Oryctolagus cuniculus: one gene and its partner. The protein of the gene in region 2 binds, or shares a complex with, the protein of the main gene of each other region. Links are inferred from orthologs where the notes say so. Each region holds a gene or a part of one and is shown on either strand. Other genes may lie near its edges.

Region 1 (5,113 bases), on a different chromosome or scaffold from region 2:
GGATAAACCCCGGAGTGGAATCGCCCCTCTGCACCCACACACTCTCACTGTTTTCCTTACTAGAGGATTCTGCCATGGTGTGTGTTAAAATAATTCCTACAGCCAGATGCAGGCTGGCAGTGCCTGCTACCTACGAGTGCTCAGTTCTTAGCGTTGGATCCCCGCGTGGCTCAGAGGATTAAGCTGCCACCCGCGACGCCAGCATCACTGTTGCAGTGCTAGTTTTGAGTCCTGGCTGCTCTGCTTCCTGCCGGTATACCTGGAAAGGCAGCATAGGATGGCCCCAAGTACTTGGGCCTGAGCCACTCTTGTGGGAGAGCGAGATGAAGTTCCTGGCTCCTCACTTCAGCCTGGCCCAAACGTAGCTATTGTGGACAGTTGGGGAGTGACCCAGCGGATGGTTCCTTGTTTCCCTCTCTGTTGCTCTGCCTTTTAAATAAATAAATCTTTTTTTTTTAATCTTTTTATTTATTTATTTTTTATATTTTGACAGGCAGAGTGGACAGTGAGAGAGAGAAACAGAGAGAAAGGTCTTCCTTTTGCCGTTGGTTCACCCTCCAATGGCCGATGCGGCCAGCGCACCATGCTGATCCGATGGCAGGAGCCAGGTGCTTATCCTGGTCTCCCATGGGGTGCAGGGCCCAAGCACTTGAGCCATCCTCCACTGCACTCCCTGGCCACAGCAGAGAGCTGGCCTGGAAGAGGGGCAACCGGGACAGACTCCCGCGCCCCGACCGGGACTAGAACCCGGTGTGCCGGCGCCGCAAGGCGGAGGATTAGCCTAGTGAGCCGCGGCGCCGGCCCTAAATAAATAAATCTTAAAAAATATTTAGCATGAATTAGGTTTCCTTGATAGTACTCCAGGGGTCTTAACAAAACAACCCAGCCTGCATTTCCCCCAGGAAAGCCGCCCGTGAGCTGACCTGGCCAGTAGGTAGTTTTCTTAATCTTGGGTGCTCATCAAGGAAAGCCTGTCACATCAGCAAACTTCTCAAAGACTAGTATATATAACACAAACGCTGCTTCTAGAATTCTTTGAACTTTAAAAGAGAAGCCTGTTCCAATGTGTTTTTATGTCCCAGGCTTAGGGCAGCCTAGGTGAGTATACAGGAAGAGACTCAGTGGTGTCCTAAATAATCCTGTAGCTTACTGACTACTTTCCTGTATTTGCGACAGGTGACAGTTCGTGATGCTATCAACCAAGGTATGGATGAGGAGCTGGAAAGAGATGAGAAGGTATTTCTCCTTGGGGAAGAAGTTGCCCAGTATGACGGGGCATACAAGGTAACCAAAATATATGAAAGACGCACGCTGAGGTCACCATTTGCCCCGAGATCTACTTGAAAGTTAATGCGGTCATCTCTTGTAGGTTAGTCGAGGCCTGTGGAAGAAATACGGAGACAAGAGGATCATAGACACTCCCATCTCCGAGGTGAGCCTTCTACCAGGAAGCCGGCCTTGCAGGGCTTGTCCGTTAGTGCTCGCTCGCCTCAGTCTTACTGATGTTCACTTCCTTTGTGTTTTCCTTTATAGATGGGCTTTGCTGGAATTGCTGTGGGTGCAGCTATGGTACGTAATAGTCTCTGTGAGGCTCACCCAAAGAGATTTAACATGACGTTTTAAAAATACTGCCTCCCACTCTGCTGTTCCTTGTCTTTTAACATGCATGTTTTTGATCTCACAGGCTGGGTTGCGGCCCATTTGTGAATTTATGACCTTCAATTTCTCTATGCAAGCCATTGACCAGGTTATAAACTCAGCTGCCAAGACCTACTACATGTCGGCGGGCCTGCAGCCTGTGCCCATAGTCTTCAGGGGACCCAATGGCGCCTCAGCTGGTGTGGCTGCCCAGCACTCACAGTGCTTTGCTGCCTGGTATGGGCACTGCCCAGGCTTAAAGGTGGTCAGCCCCTGGAATTCAGAGGATGCAAAAGGACTTATAAAATCGGCCATTCGGGATAACAATCCAGGTCAGCAGAGTGAGCTGTCAGTCTCTTTTGAACAGTAAAACTAAAGTGAAATTTTTATATAGAAGGACCTTTAAGGATTCTAGTTAAGCTTAAATATATTGTATAAATGTTAAAGATTTATAGATGCAGTAAAGATAGTAAGAAATGTGTTTTTTCTTTGTCTTTGGATTTATTTGAAAGAGCTACAGAGAGGCAGAGGCAGAGAGAGAGAGAGAGAGATCCTCCATCTACTGGCTCACCCCCTAAATGGCCACAACGGCCAGAGCTGGGCCAATCCGAAGCCAGAAGCTTCTTCCAGGCCTCCCATGCCAGTGCAGGGGTCCAAGGACCTGGGCCATCTTCTGCTGCTTTCCCGGCCATAGCAGAGAACTGGACTGGAAGTGGAGCAGCCAGGTCCCGAACCAGCGCCCACATGGGATGCCAGTACTGCAGGCAGCGGCTTTACCCACTATGCCACAGCTCCAGCCCCATTGCTAGTTTTTCTTAAGACTAGGAAGAGGCCAGTTAGATATTTACTGCATACCTACAACACTGGTTTAACTTCAGTAGATAGTTATATTTAAGTACTCAGGCCATCATCCAGACTTCTGGACAAAATAGAAATACAGGGGCCGGCGCTGTGTGTGGCGTAGCAGATAAAGCGGCGGCATCCCTTATGGGCACCGGCTCGAGTCCTGGCTGCTCCACTTCTGATCCAGCTCTGCTATGGCCTGGGAAAGAAGTAGAAGATGGCCCAAGTTCTTGGGCTCCTGCACCCGCAAGGGAGACCCAGAAGAGGCTCCTGGCTCCTGGTTTCCGATCCAATGCAGTTCCGACCATTGCAGCCAATTGGGGAGTGAACCAGCGGATGGAAGACCTCTCTCTCTCTCTCTCTGCCTCTCCTTCTCTCTCTGTGTTACTCTGACTTTCCAATAAATAAACCTTTAAAAGAGAAGATAGAAATACAGCTTTCTTAAAAGCACACTGACCTTCACAGTGGATGTAATGAGTTACTTACTTTGGTTTCAATATGTATAACACTTTGCAGTGGTGGTGCTAGAGAATGAACTGATGTACGGAGTTCCTTTTGAACTTCCTGCCGAAGCTCAGTCAAAAGATTTTCTGATTCCTATCGGAAAAGCCAAAATAGAAAGACAAGGTAAGAGAACTGACACGTTTAAGCATTATTTTAAATCCAGCCCTTCTATTTATATTGGTCAAATGTCATCTAGATGTTCTTACATTTTACCCTGATTAAAAAATTACAAGAGTTCAAGTAAAGAATGTGTGATGCCCTGACTTCTCACACAGTAGCGCTTTTCTGAATTTGGGTCCAGTAGATTTGTATTTCATTTCTGAGAAGGCTGCCTCAGTCCTCAGCTCACTGAAATGAAGCTGACTTGAAGACTTGACACAAACAGGAGTGCTGCAGCATCTTTCCTTTTGACCTGACCTCTGACCTGTGGCCACTCTGTTTCAGGGACACACATAACTGTGGTTGCCCATTCGAGACCAGTGGGCCACTGTTTAGAAGCTGCAACGGTGCTTTCTAAAGAGGGAGTTGAATGTGAGGTAAGTGGACATTCACCTGTTACAGAATCAGAAAGGCTCCTTTTAAACTTGGAAGCCAGGGGTTGTACATTGGACTCAGGAATGAAGACGCTGCTTAGGGTCCCACATTCCATTTCAGGGTGCGGTGGATTTTGAGTGCCGGCTCCACTTCCCAGCCAGCTTGCTGATGATGTGCTCCCTGGGAGGAGCAGATGATGGCTGAATGCTTAGAGCAATCTCTCTTTTTTTTTTTTTTTAAGATTTTTTTATTATTTTTTTTGCAAGAGAATTACAGACAGGGAGAAGGAGAGAAAGAGAAAGGCCTTCTATCCACTGATTCACTCACCAAATGGCTGCTACAGCTAGAGCTGAGCTGATCCAAAGCTAGGAGCCACGAGCTTCTTCCATGTCTCCCATGTAGGTGCAGGGGCCCAAGGACTTGGGCCATCTTCTACTGCTTTCGCAGTCCATAGTAGTGAGCCGGAACAGAAAAGGAGCAGCCGGGGGCTGGCATTGTGGTATAGTGGATAAAGTCACTGCCTTCGATGCCAGCGTCCCATATGGGTGCCAGTTTGAGTTCCAGCTGCTCTACTTCTGATCCAGCTCCCTGGATCAGAAAGTGTCTGGAAAAGGCAGTGGAGGATGGCCCAAGTCCTTGGGCCCCTGTTCCCATGTGTGAAACTCAAAAGAAGCTCCCAGCTTCCGAAGCCAGGAGCCAGGTGCTTCTTCCTGGTCTTCCACGTGGGTGCAGGGGCCCAAACACTTGAGCCATCCTCCACTGCCCTCCCAGGCCACAGCAAAGAGCTGGACTGGAAGAGGAGCAACCAGGACTAGAACCCGGTGCTCATATGGGATGCTGGCGTTGCAGGTGGAGGATTAACCAAGTGAGCCACTGCGCCGGCCCCCCAGCACTATTTTTTAAAGATCCCTTGTATGCCTGGATTTAGCATTTTTCCACACCAAAATAAACTCATCTTTTAATTCCTCTTCTACAAACCTTTTGAAGTACCCTTGTATTTGTGATGCAGTGGCTCTATAAAGCTTATTTATTGTATTTCCTCTTTAGGTCATAAATCTGCGTACTATCAGACCAATGGACATTGAAACCATAGAAGCCAGTGTCATGAAGACAAATCATCTGGTAACAGTGGAAGGAGGCTGGCCACAGTTTGGAGTAGGAGCTGAAATTTGTGCCAGGATCATGGAAGGTATTGCAAAGAAAGTGGATCTAGAATATGGTCAAACTGTAACAAACAGTGTGTACCTGAACACGTGTTGAATAGAGAAAAAAAGCTAGGGTAGCCAAATGCCTTGAACTTTGAACTTACTGTATGGTGTTAATATTTTAAAAAACAAAACCAGGCCGGCGCCGCGGCTCAATAGGCTAATCCTCCACCTAGCGGCGCCGGCACACCGGGTTCTAGTCCCGGTCGGGGCGCCGGATTCTGTCCCGGTTGCCCCTCTTCCAGGCCAGCTCTCTGCTGTGGCCAGGGAGTGCAGTGGAGGATGGCTCAAGTGCTTGGGCCCTGCACCCCATGGGAGACCAGGAGAAGCACCTGGCTCCTGCCATCAGATCAGTGCGATGCGCCGGCTGCAGCGCGCCAGCCGTGGCG
Region 2 (7,054 bases):
AGACTGTAAGCTCTGTGGGACTGGGGACTCTATTCCTTGCTCTTTCCCCCCTCCCTGTGCCTACTCCAATGCCTGACTCAGAATTGGTGTCTAACAAATAGGTGTTGAAGGAATGCAAGAATGAATGCATGTGTATGCATAGAGCCGACAGGGCTCCTGGACGCACACAACCAATGTCAGCTCTATGCAGATGACTCCCAAATTTATATTTCTAGCTTGTGTCCTAGACTTACAACTGCCACTTGCTGGGGGACAACTTCGGGGAGCTGTCCCACCACTGCCTGCAGGCCAGCAGGTCCACAAACGGTCAGGCCGGCTTCTCTAAACTGGCCATCTGGCCTCGCACTCTTCTCATTCTCCTTTCTCCAGCTTCCACATTCTGGCAGCAGCAGCATCTGCGGAGGCCACGCTGGGCAGCCTGCTTCACTGCCATCCCGTCCCTCTCAGCCTTTAGGGAGCGCTCATCGCGTGGCAACCTGGTCATGGAAGTACAAGTGTGAAGACGTACCAAGTCCTCTACACTGTTGCTGTCCACCCAATTTTCTGGTCTCCCTCCTGCACATTAGAGGAAGTGATATGTGTTACTTCTGGCAGAAGCTTTTTTTTTAAAAACAAACAAACAAACAAACAAATATGTCTTACGGGTTAGATCATTCTTTTTTTTTTTTTTTAAGAAAGATTTGAAAGGTGTGAGTGACAGAGGAGGAGGGGAGGCCTTCTATCTGCTGGTTAGTAAATGGCTGCAACAGCCAGGGCTGGGCCAGGCTGAAGGCAGGAGCCCAACACATCATCCTGGTACTCGGGCCATCCTCTGCTCCTCTGCTGCTTTCCTAGGTGCATTACCAGGGAGTTGGATTGGAAGCAGAGCAGTTGGGACTTCAGCTGGTGGTTATATGGGATGCTGGCATCGCAGGCATTGGCTTAGCCCACTCCACCACTACGCTGATCTCAGGCAGAAGCTCTGAGAGCCATTCGAAGTGACAGCTTTTCCCTTCACCGTGAGACAAGCTAAGTTCCAGACAGAGGTTGCTCCATCACTCAAGGTTCCAGAGAAATGACATGGAGTGCAGTCCCAGCCAAGCTGTGGAAGTTGTGGTATGAACAAGCTAAGTCACTTCATGTTTTTTTTTTTTTTTTTTTTTTTTTGACATGCAGAGTGGACAGTGAGAGAGAGAGACAGAGAGAAAGGTCTTCCTTTTACTGTTGGTTCACCCTCCAATGGCCGCCGCGGCCGGTGCACTGCGCTGATCCGAAGGCAGGAGCCAGGTGCTTCTCCTGGTCTCCCATGAGGTGCAGGGCCCAAGCACTTGGGCCATCCTCCACTGCACTCCCTGGCCACAGCAGAGAGCTGGCCTGGAAGAGGGGCAACCGGGACAGAATCCGGCGCTCCGACCGGGACTAGAACCGGGTGTGCCGGCACCGCAAGGCGGAGGATTAGCCTAGTGAGGCGCAGCGCTGGCCAGTCACTTGATGTTCTTAAAGAGACTAAAATTTGGGGTTGAGTGTTACAGCAACATAACCTAGCTCACTCTAAATCAGTCCAGTTTCTTCCTAACTCCTTGAGTCATTCCTCGCAAGTCACAGTCTAAGCCCCTCATCATTGTGACCGCCATCCTCTGGATGCCACTCATTTTTGTCATTATCCTTCTTTAAATGGAGCCAATTCAGAACCCAGAACCTTAGGTGCAATTCCAGCAGGGCCCAGCAGGATGGGTTTCTGAGCCCTGACTCCTCTCTACAGAGCCCAGTTGCTTTGGAGTCTGTTTCTCTGTGTCCTTTTATCTTTGGCTGTGTCCTGCTGTTAACTCTCTTTGAGCTTCTGAATCAGTAAGTAGAGCCAAAAGGTTTTTCCCACTGACTCCTCAGTATTTAGTTGGGGAATCAGCAGCATTTTACAACTGTTATGTGATCCTTTACCTATTTGTTTTTCTTTGAAAAGCAGAGCGCACCCTGCTAGGCAGCAGGTGACGGCTCCGCTCTAGTAGTTGGATCCCTGCCAACCACGTGGGAGACCAGATTGTATTACGTGATCTTTTAAAGCCAAGTTAGTGGCAGAATCACTTACAAAGACTGTACCGTCTATCTTTCGGCCCCGGCTAGGCTGCTAATCTTCATCATCTCGTGTGCAGAGCCAAGGCTGCAGTTACAGCACCAGCAGGACCAGCCACACGTCAGGACCAGCCTGAAGGCTACCACCGTCGTCTGCGCAGAATCCAACCAGAAGGCTGGAGGCGGGGACCCACTCTCCCACGCAGGCGCCTTCAGATAGTCGACCCCTCCCTCTCCCGCCGCATGGTGACGCGAGGAAGCCGCAACTCCGCCCCCCATGGCGCCGACACACAATGGGTGGTCGCAGGCCTTTCAAGTGGGCGGAACACAGCCTGGGAGCCGTCCTGGTTGGCCCGCGGCCCGGCGCGGCGCATGACGTCATTCCGACGCCACGTCGCGTTGCGTTTAAGGCGTGGCTTCTGCTGGGGCGCCTGAAGGAGACTTGGGGTCGGCTTAGCAGTTCCCCTTGGGCAGTTTGGGAGTCGCCGTTGTTGCAGCTTCTTTGCGCTCCATGAGGAAGATGCTGGCCGCTGTCTCCCGCGTGTTGTCTGGCGCTGCCCAGAAGCCGGTGAGGCGGCCCGAGCCAGCGGCCTGGACGGATCGGGATGGAGCGCGAACGGGACCGAGGCGGTGCCGGAGGAGGCCGAAGGGCGGGCCGGGCCTCGGGGCTCGCAGTTAGACGCGCTGCTTGGATTGGGCGCTGAGTAAAAGATGCGGCGGGGAGCCGGGGGAGCTGCGGGCTTTTGCTTTTGCCTCCACGCCGTGCATTCTGCGTCTAGTCTCGGGGGGGAACGGCGCTGGGCGGCCGACTGGGGAGGGGGGGCAACCCCTGCCGGGTCCGCGTGGAGATCGGTCACGACTCTCCGGCTCTCCCCGAGCCCAGCTCCGCGCGGAGCGATTAGGTGTGCTCGAAAAGTGCCCGTTGGTTGCAGGGTATGGAGGGGGTGCCTTAAGCTTGTAAGAGTCTTCACTTGACCCCACTCATTTCAGTTCTCCCTAACTTAATGTTTGTCTTGGCTGAGAGGTCCTTTAGTGGGTGTTAGTAAAGAGCGTGGAATCCGGAAACGAACTGGCTGGAATTCAAACAGCAGTCCTGTGAGCTTGGGCAAGTTTTGAACGCCCCCCCCCCACCTTCCACCCCGCCCAGTGTCCTTATCTCTAAAATGTATATGAGGGTACCTACCTCGTGGGGTTGTCTGAGGATTCTACGAGTGACGCGTGCGTAAACGTTTCCGACTAGCACCTGGCACATAGTGGGTACTCTGTGTTGACCGCCCAGTTTGGTGTACGTTTGTGGGTGTCTGAGGGTTTAGACGTGGTCACGCTCCCCAGGAACCCACTTCCTCTCCGGCTTAACTTTTCTTGGCAGTGGAAAGCGGTCCAGCGGAACCCACAGGAAACTGCTCTCCCCCCTTAAGTGCGGGGGGGGGGGGACGTACACACATCCCCTTAGGGTAAAGGTGGCTAAAGGAAATCGCACTTAAGCTATTTGCAGCCCCAGTTTTCAGATGCGCCTTTCACCTGAGCTGCTAGCATTTTGACCTCTGGGCACAGTGAGATGGGGTTACTTGGTATAACTGCAGAGCCAAGCTTTGACTTGTAATTCCGGTTCTAGTAATTCTCCCAGGACTCGATGCAGCTGTGCCTAGTCTGGGCAGAGGTTGTCAAAAGGTAGCGGCTGAACCCCTCTAGGAATCCCATTTACTAAGATTTACAGGAGAATTTGATTGATCAGAACTGTATTGACCTTGGAATTGTACTGGGATTGACCTGATGGCGAAGCACAAGGGGCATTCCTTTTTTCTGCCCACACGCAGGCTCCAGCCACCATTTCTTGAGCTCGCAGTATGTGCTAGGCACTAGTAGATACCTCCCAGCTTTATCTCGTTGAATCCCCTAGCATTGGTTTTTAGTGGAAAAACAGCAGTAGAAACGTGTTTGCAGCATTGTGCAGTGCTTTAGTTATCTGCAGAAGTTAAGTGGCCTTTCCTTTCTGCTGTGAGATTGGATAGACTAGAAGTGCAAAAGCAGTAGAAACTTTGTTATTGAAGCTTCGCACTTAGTGGAAAGAAACAGTTTCCCAGGAACTTCAAAGTTAAACTTGGGAGGTGTCAAGAATTTGAATTGCGATTGGAAACTAATAGATAAAAAGTTTCCACTGTCAAACCTTGCTAGCAGAGTTTCTGCCTTTTCTCTAAGTCATCCCTTTTGGTGATACCGGTTTGTAGATGTACCAGTACTTAGGGGCTCAGAAACACCCTTAAATCGTTATTATTAGGCACTCAGGTTTATTCTTTTCCCCTACCTTCCAGTAGGAAAAAAAATTGAGTTCCAGCAGTCAGGTCACCCTAAAGTACCCAGGCAGCTTCCCACTTGGTGCAAACTCTACAGATAGTTTTCTGTGTGACTATACGTGTCACGTGCTAGTCAACTAGGAGGCATTTCTGAAACTTCTGAAGATGGTAAGGACCAGATGTTTCACCTTTATCTTTTTAAAGGATGGAGTAATAAACCAATGTGTCAGGGTTTACACATTTTATTTGAAAGGCAGAGATGGACTGAGAGAGATCTTCTGTTTGCTCATTCAATATCTGCAATGGCTGGAGCTGAGCCAGCGGGAGCGGGAGCCAGAATCTTAGTGTAGGTCTCCCATGTGGTTGGCAGGAACCCAACTATTTGAGCCATGACTGCTGCTTCCCAGAGTACATGTAGCAGGAAGCTGGACTTGGGAGTGGAGCTGGGTCTTGAACCCGGGTACAGTGGGATTCAGGTGTCCCAACCAGCATCCTAACTGCTATGCTAAATGGCCAACCCCTGAGAATAACTATATTTTGTGATTTTTTTCATACTTATGGATGTCTTTTTATTTAAATATAAAAAACAAAATAATCAAGGTTTTTACTTTCATATATATGTAAAAATATTTTTTGCAAATAAGCCTTTCAAAAATCCTGATAATAATCAACTGCGACTAACCTAAATTAGGCAAATTGGGTACTAGAGTTGCACCATCTGTGTGATACTCAGAGAGGGAGGGGATGGAGAAAGGTCAAGTGGTTCGTTTGATTGATGGTTGTGACACTTTATCCACATTGTGCCCTATCTTGCCTTCCAGAACTCTGTTTTTTCCCCTTTTCATTTTTTTTTTCTTTTCTCCTCTTAAAACCAGGGATGTATGGTGATTTATCTCAGGCTTGTCGATTATCATTGTATCATGACATGTTTGGCAGGAAACTTTGAATGAATTACAAGCTTGTGATTTATTTTTGAATTAAATTGATAGTTTTAAAAATTCTTATAGAAGACTGAATTGCATTTAAAATCATAATCTTTGTCTTAGTGTTTTTATTTGTTGCGACTTCTTTTTTTTAAAGAGGTTTATTTGAAAGGCAGAGAGAGAGAGAGAGAAAGAGAAAGAACTGCTAGTCATTGAGTCTCTCCTCAAATGGCCACAACAGCCAGGGCTGGGCTGAGCTGAAACCAGAGCTGGGAACTCCATCCAGGTCTCCCATGTGGGTAGCAGGTTTCCTGAGCACTTGGGCCATCTTCCGTTGCCTTCCCAGGTTTATTAGCAGGGTGCTGGATCAGCCAGGACTCAAACTGGCATTCTGAAACAAGTGTCAGCCTGACACTGCCACAGCACTGGCCTCAATGACGTGAGATACTTTTTTTTTTTTTTTTTAAGATTTATTTATTAATTTGAAAGAGTTGAGGAGAGAGAATCTTCTATCTGCTGGTTCACTCCCCAGATGGCTTCAACGGCTGGGGCTGGACCAGGCTGAAGCCAGGAGCCAGGACCTTCTTCCAGGTCTCCCACTTGGGTTGTGGGGCCCAGGCACTTAGGCCATCTTCCACTGCTTTCCCCAGGTCATTAGCAGGGAGCTGGATCAAAAGTGAAGCAGCCGGCACATGAACTGGTGCCCATATGGGATGCCAGCATCATAGTGGCGGCTTAGCCCACTACACAACAAGACTGGCACCCTTGGAGATCTTTACTCCTAGTATTCTTTTGGCTTTTTAAATAATAGGTAAGATTTCTATTTGCCATTGGTGGAATCTGGAATTTTTGAAATGTTTTTCCCCTTGTTTTTCACTTGAATGCTTCTAATGTATTTAGGAACTCAAGTTTTTATTTGGGGGCCGGCACTGTGGCGTAGTGGGTAAAACCACCGCCTGCAGTGCCGGCATCCCATATGGGCGCTGCTTCAAGTCCCAGCTGCTCCACTTCCAATCCAGCTCTCTGCTGTGGCCTGGGAAAGCAGTGGAAGATGGCCCGAGTCCTTGGGCCCCTGCACCCGTGAGGGAGACCCAGAAGCTGCTCCTGGCTTCAGATGGACTCAGCTCTGGCCATTGTGGCCATTTGAGGAGTGAACCAACTGATGTACGATCTCTCGCTCTCTTTCTCTGCCTCTATGTAACTGCTTTTCAAATAAATAAATTTTTAAAAAGTTTTTATATGCCGAAATATGAATGGCTCATGGTCTCAAAGTTTGACAGCTCTCCAGAGAAAATCAATGGTAACCTTTTCAGCAATCTCAGTTAAAAGTTACAGTACTTGTGCTTCTGATAGGACTTTTAGCTTTCTTAACTTTGCTCCTTCTTCCCGCTGTATCAGTGGTTCTTAGTTTTTTGAGGTTCATAATAATGCAACAAGCAGAGAAAGGAAGTAGCTGTCAATCAGAACCTTGGCCCTTCCTGCACTCCGGTATAAGCACTTCATTCTTCATTCTTCATTGTTTTTACTTTAGAATTGAGAAGTTGTTTAGCTTTTTCTTTGTTATTATTTCCTGCCTGGTTTGGTCCCTACATTTAAATGCTTCCAAAGACTGCAGTTTCTGCAGTTGTATCTAGAAACTTATTTCACAGTATTTCTGGTCCCTCAAATAATTTGTTAGCCGCCAAAAATAACATCATTTCATGATTGCCAAACATAACCTTTTGTTTGCTACCTCACCCCGTCACCTTTACTTATTCTGAGACACATTAATGGACTTCCTCTAACTTA

Evidence for each region. Proteins that work in one complex are often made in the same cells at the same time.
Region 1: the proteins of PDHA1 (region 2) and PDHB are in contact, whole or in part, in a crystal structure (PDB 3EXE), measured with the Homo sapiens proteins. The link is inferred for Oryctolagus cuniculus from reciprocal best matches to the Homo sapiens genes PDHA1 and PDHB. Residues at the interface, in NP_000275.1 of Homo sapiens: Ile87, Arg88, Gly89, Phe90, Glu137, Leu138, Thr139, Gly140, Gly148, Lys149, Gly150, Gly151, Met153, His154, Asn164, Gly165, Ile166, Val167, Gly197, Ala198, Asn200, Gln201, Gln203, Gly228, Met229, Gly230, Thr231, Arg235, Ala236, Asp296; in NP_000916.2 of Homo sapiens: Glu59, Gln62, Tyr63, Ala66, Asp84, Pro86, Ile87, Ser88, Glu89, Met111, Phe115, Gln118, Ala152, Gly153, Val154, Ala155, Ala156, Gln157, His158, Pro297, Val323, Arg324, Val325, Thr326, Gly327, Ala328, Asp329, Val330, Met332, Pro333.

What each region holds. Positions count from the first base shown.
Region 1 is NC_091441.1:91,557,069-91,562,181, forward strand, and holds part of PDHB (pyruvate dehydrogenase E1 component subunit beta, mitochondrial), read left to right. Parts: intron 1-1,176; coding exon 1,177-1,284; intron 1,285-1,369; coding exon 1,370-1,432; intron 1,433-1,533; coding exon 1,534-1,569; intron 1,570-1,684; coding exon 1,685-1,970; intron 1,971-2,997; coding exon 2,998-3,108; intron 3,109-3,429; coding exon 3,430-3,521; intron 3,522-4,566; coding exon 4,567-4,708; intron 4,709-5,113. UniProt on the Homo sapiens protein: The pyruvate dehydrogenase complex catalyzes the overall conversion of pyruvate to acetyl-CoA and CO(2), and thereby links the glycolytic pathway to the tricarboxylic cycle.
Region 2 is NC_091453.1:5,375,513-5,382,566, forward strand, and holds the start of PDHA1 (pyruvate dehydrogenase E1 component subunit alpha, somatic form, mitochondrial), read left to right. Parts: upstream 1-2,424; 5' UTR 2,425-2,560; coding exon 2,561-2,617; intron 2,618-7,054. UniProt on the Homo sapiens protein: The pyruvate dehydrogenase complex catalyzes the overall conversion of pyruvate to acetyl-CoA and CO(2), and thereby links the glycolytic pathway to the tricarboxylic cycle.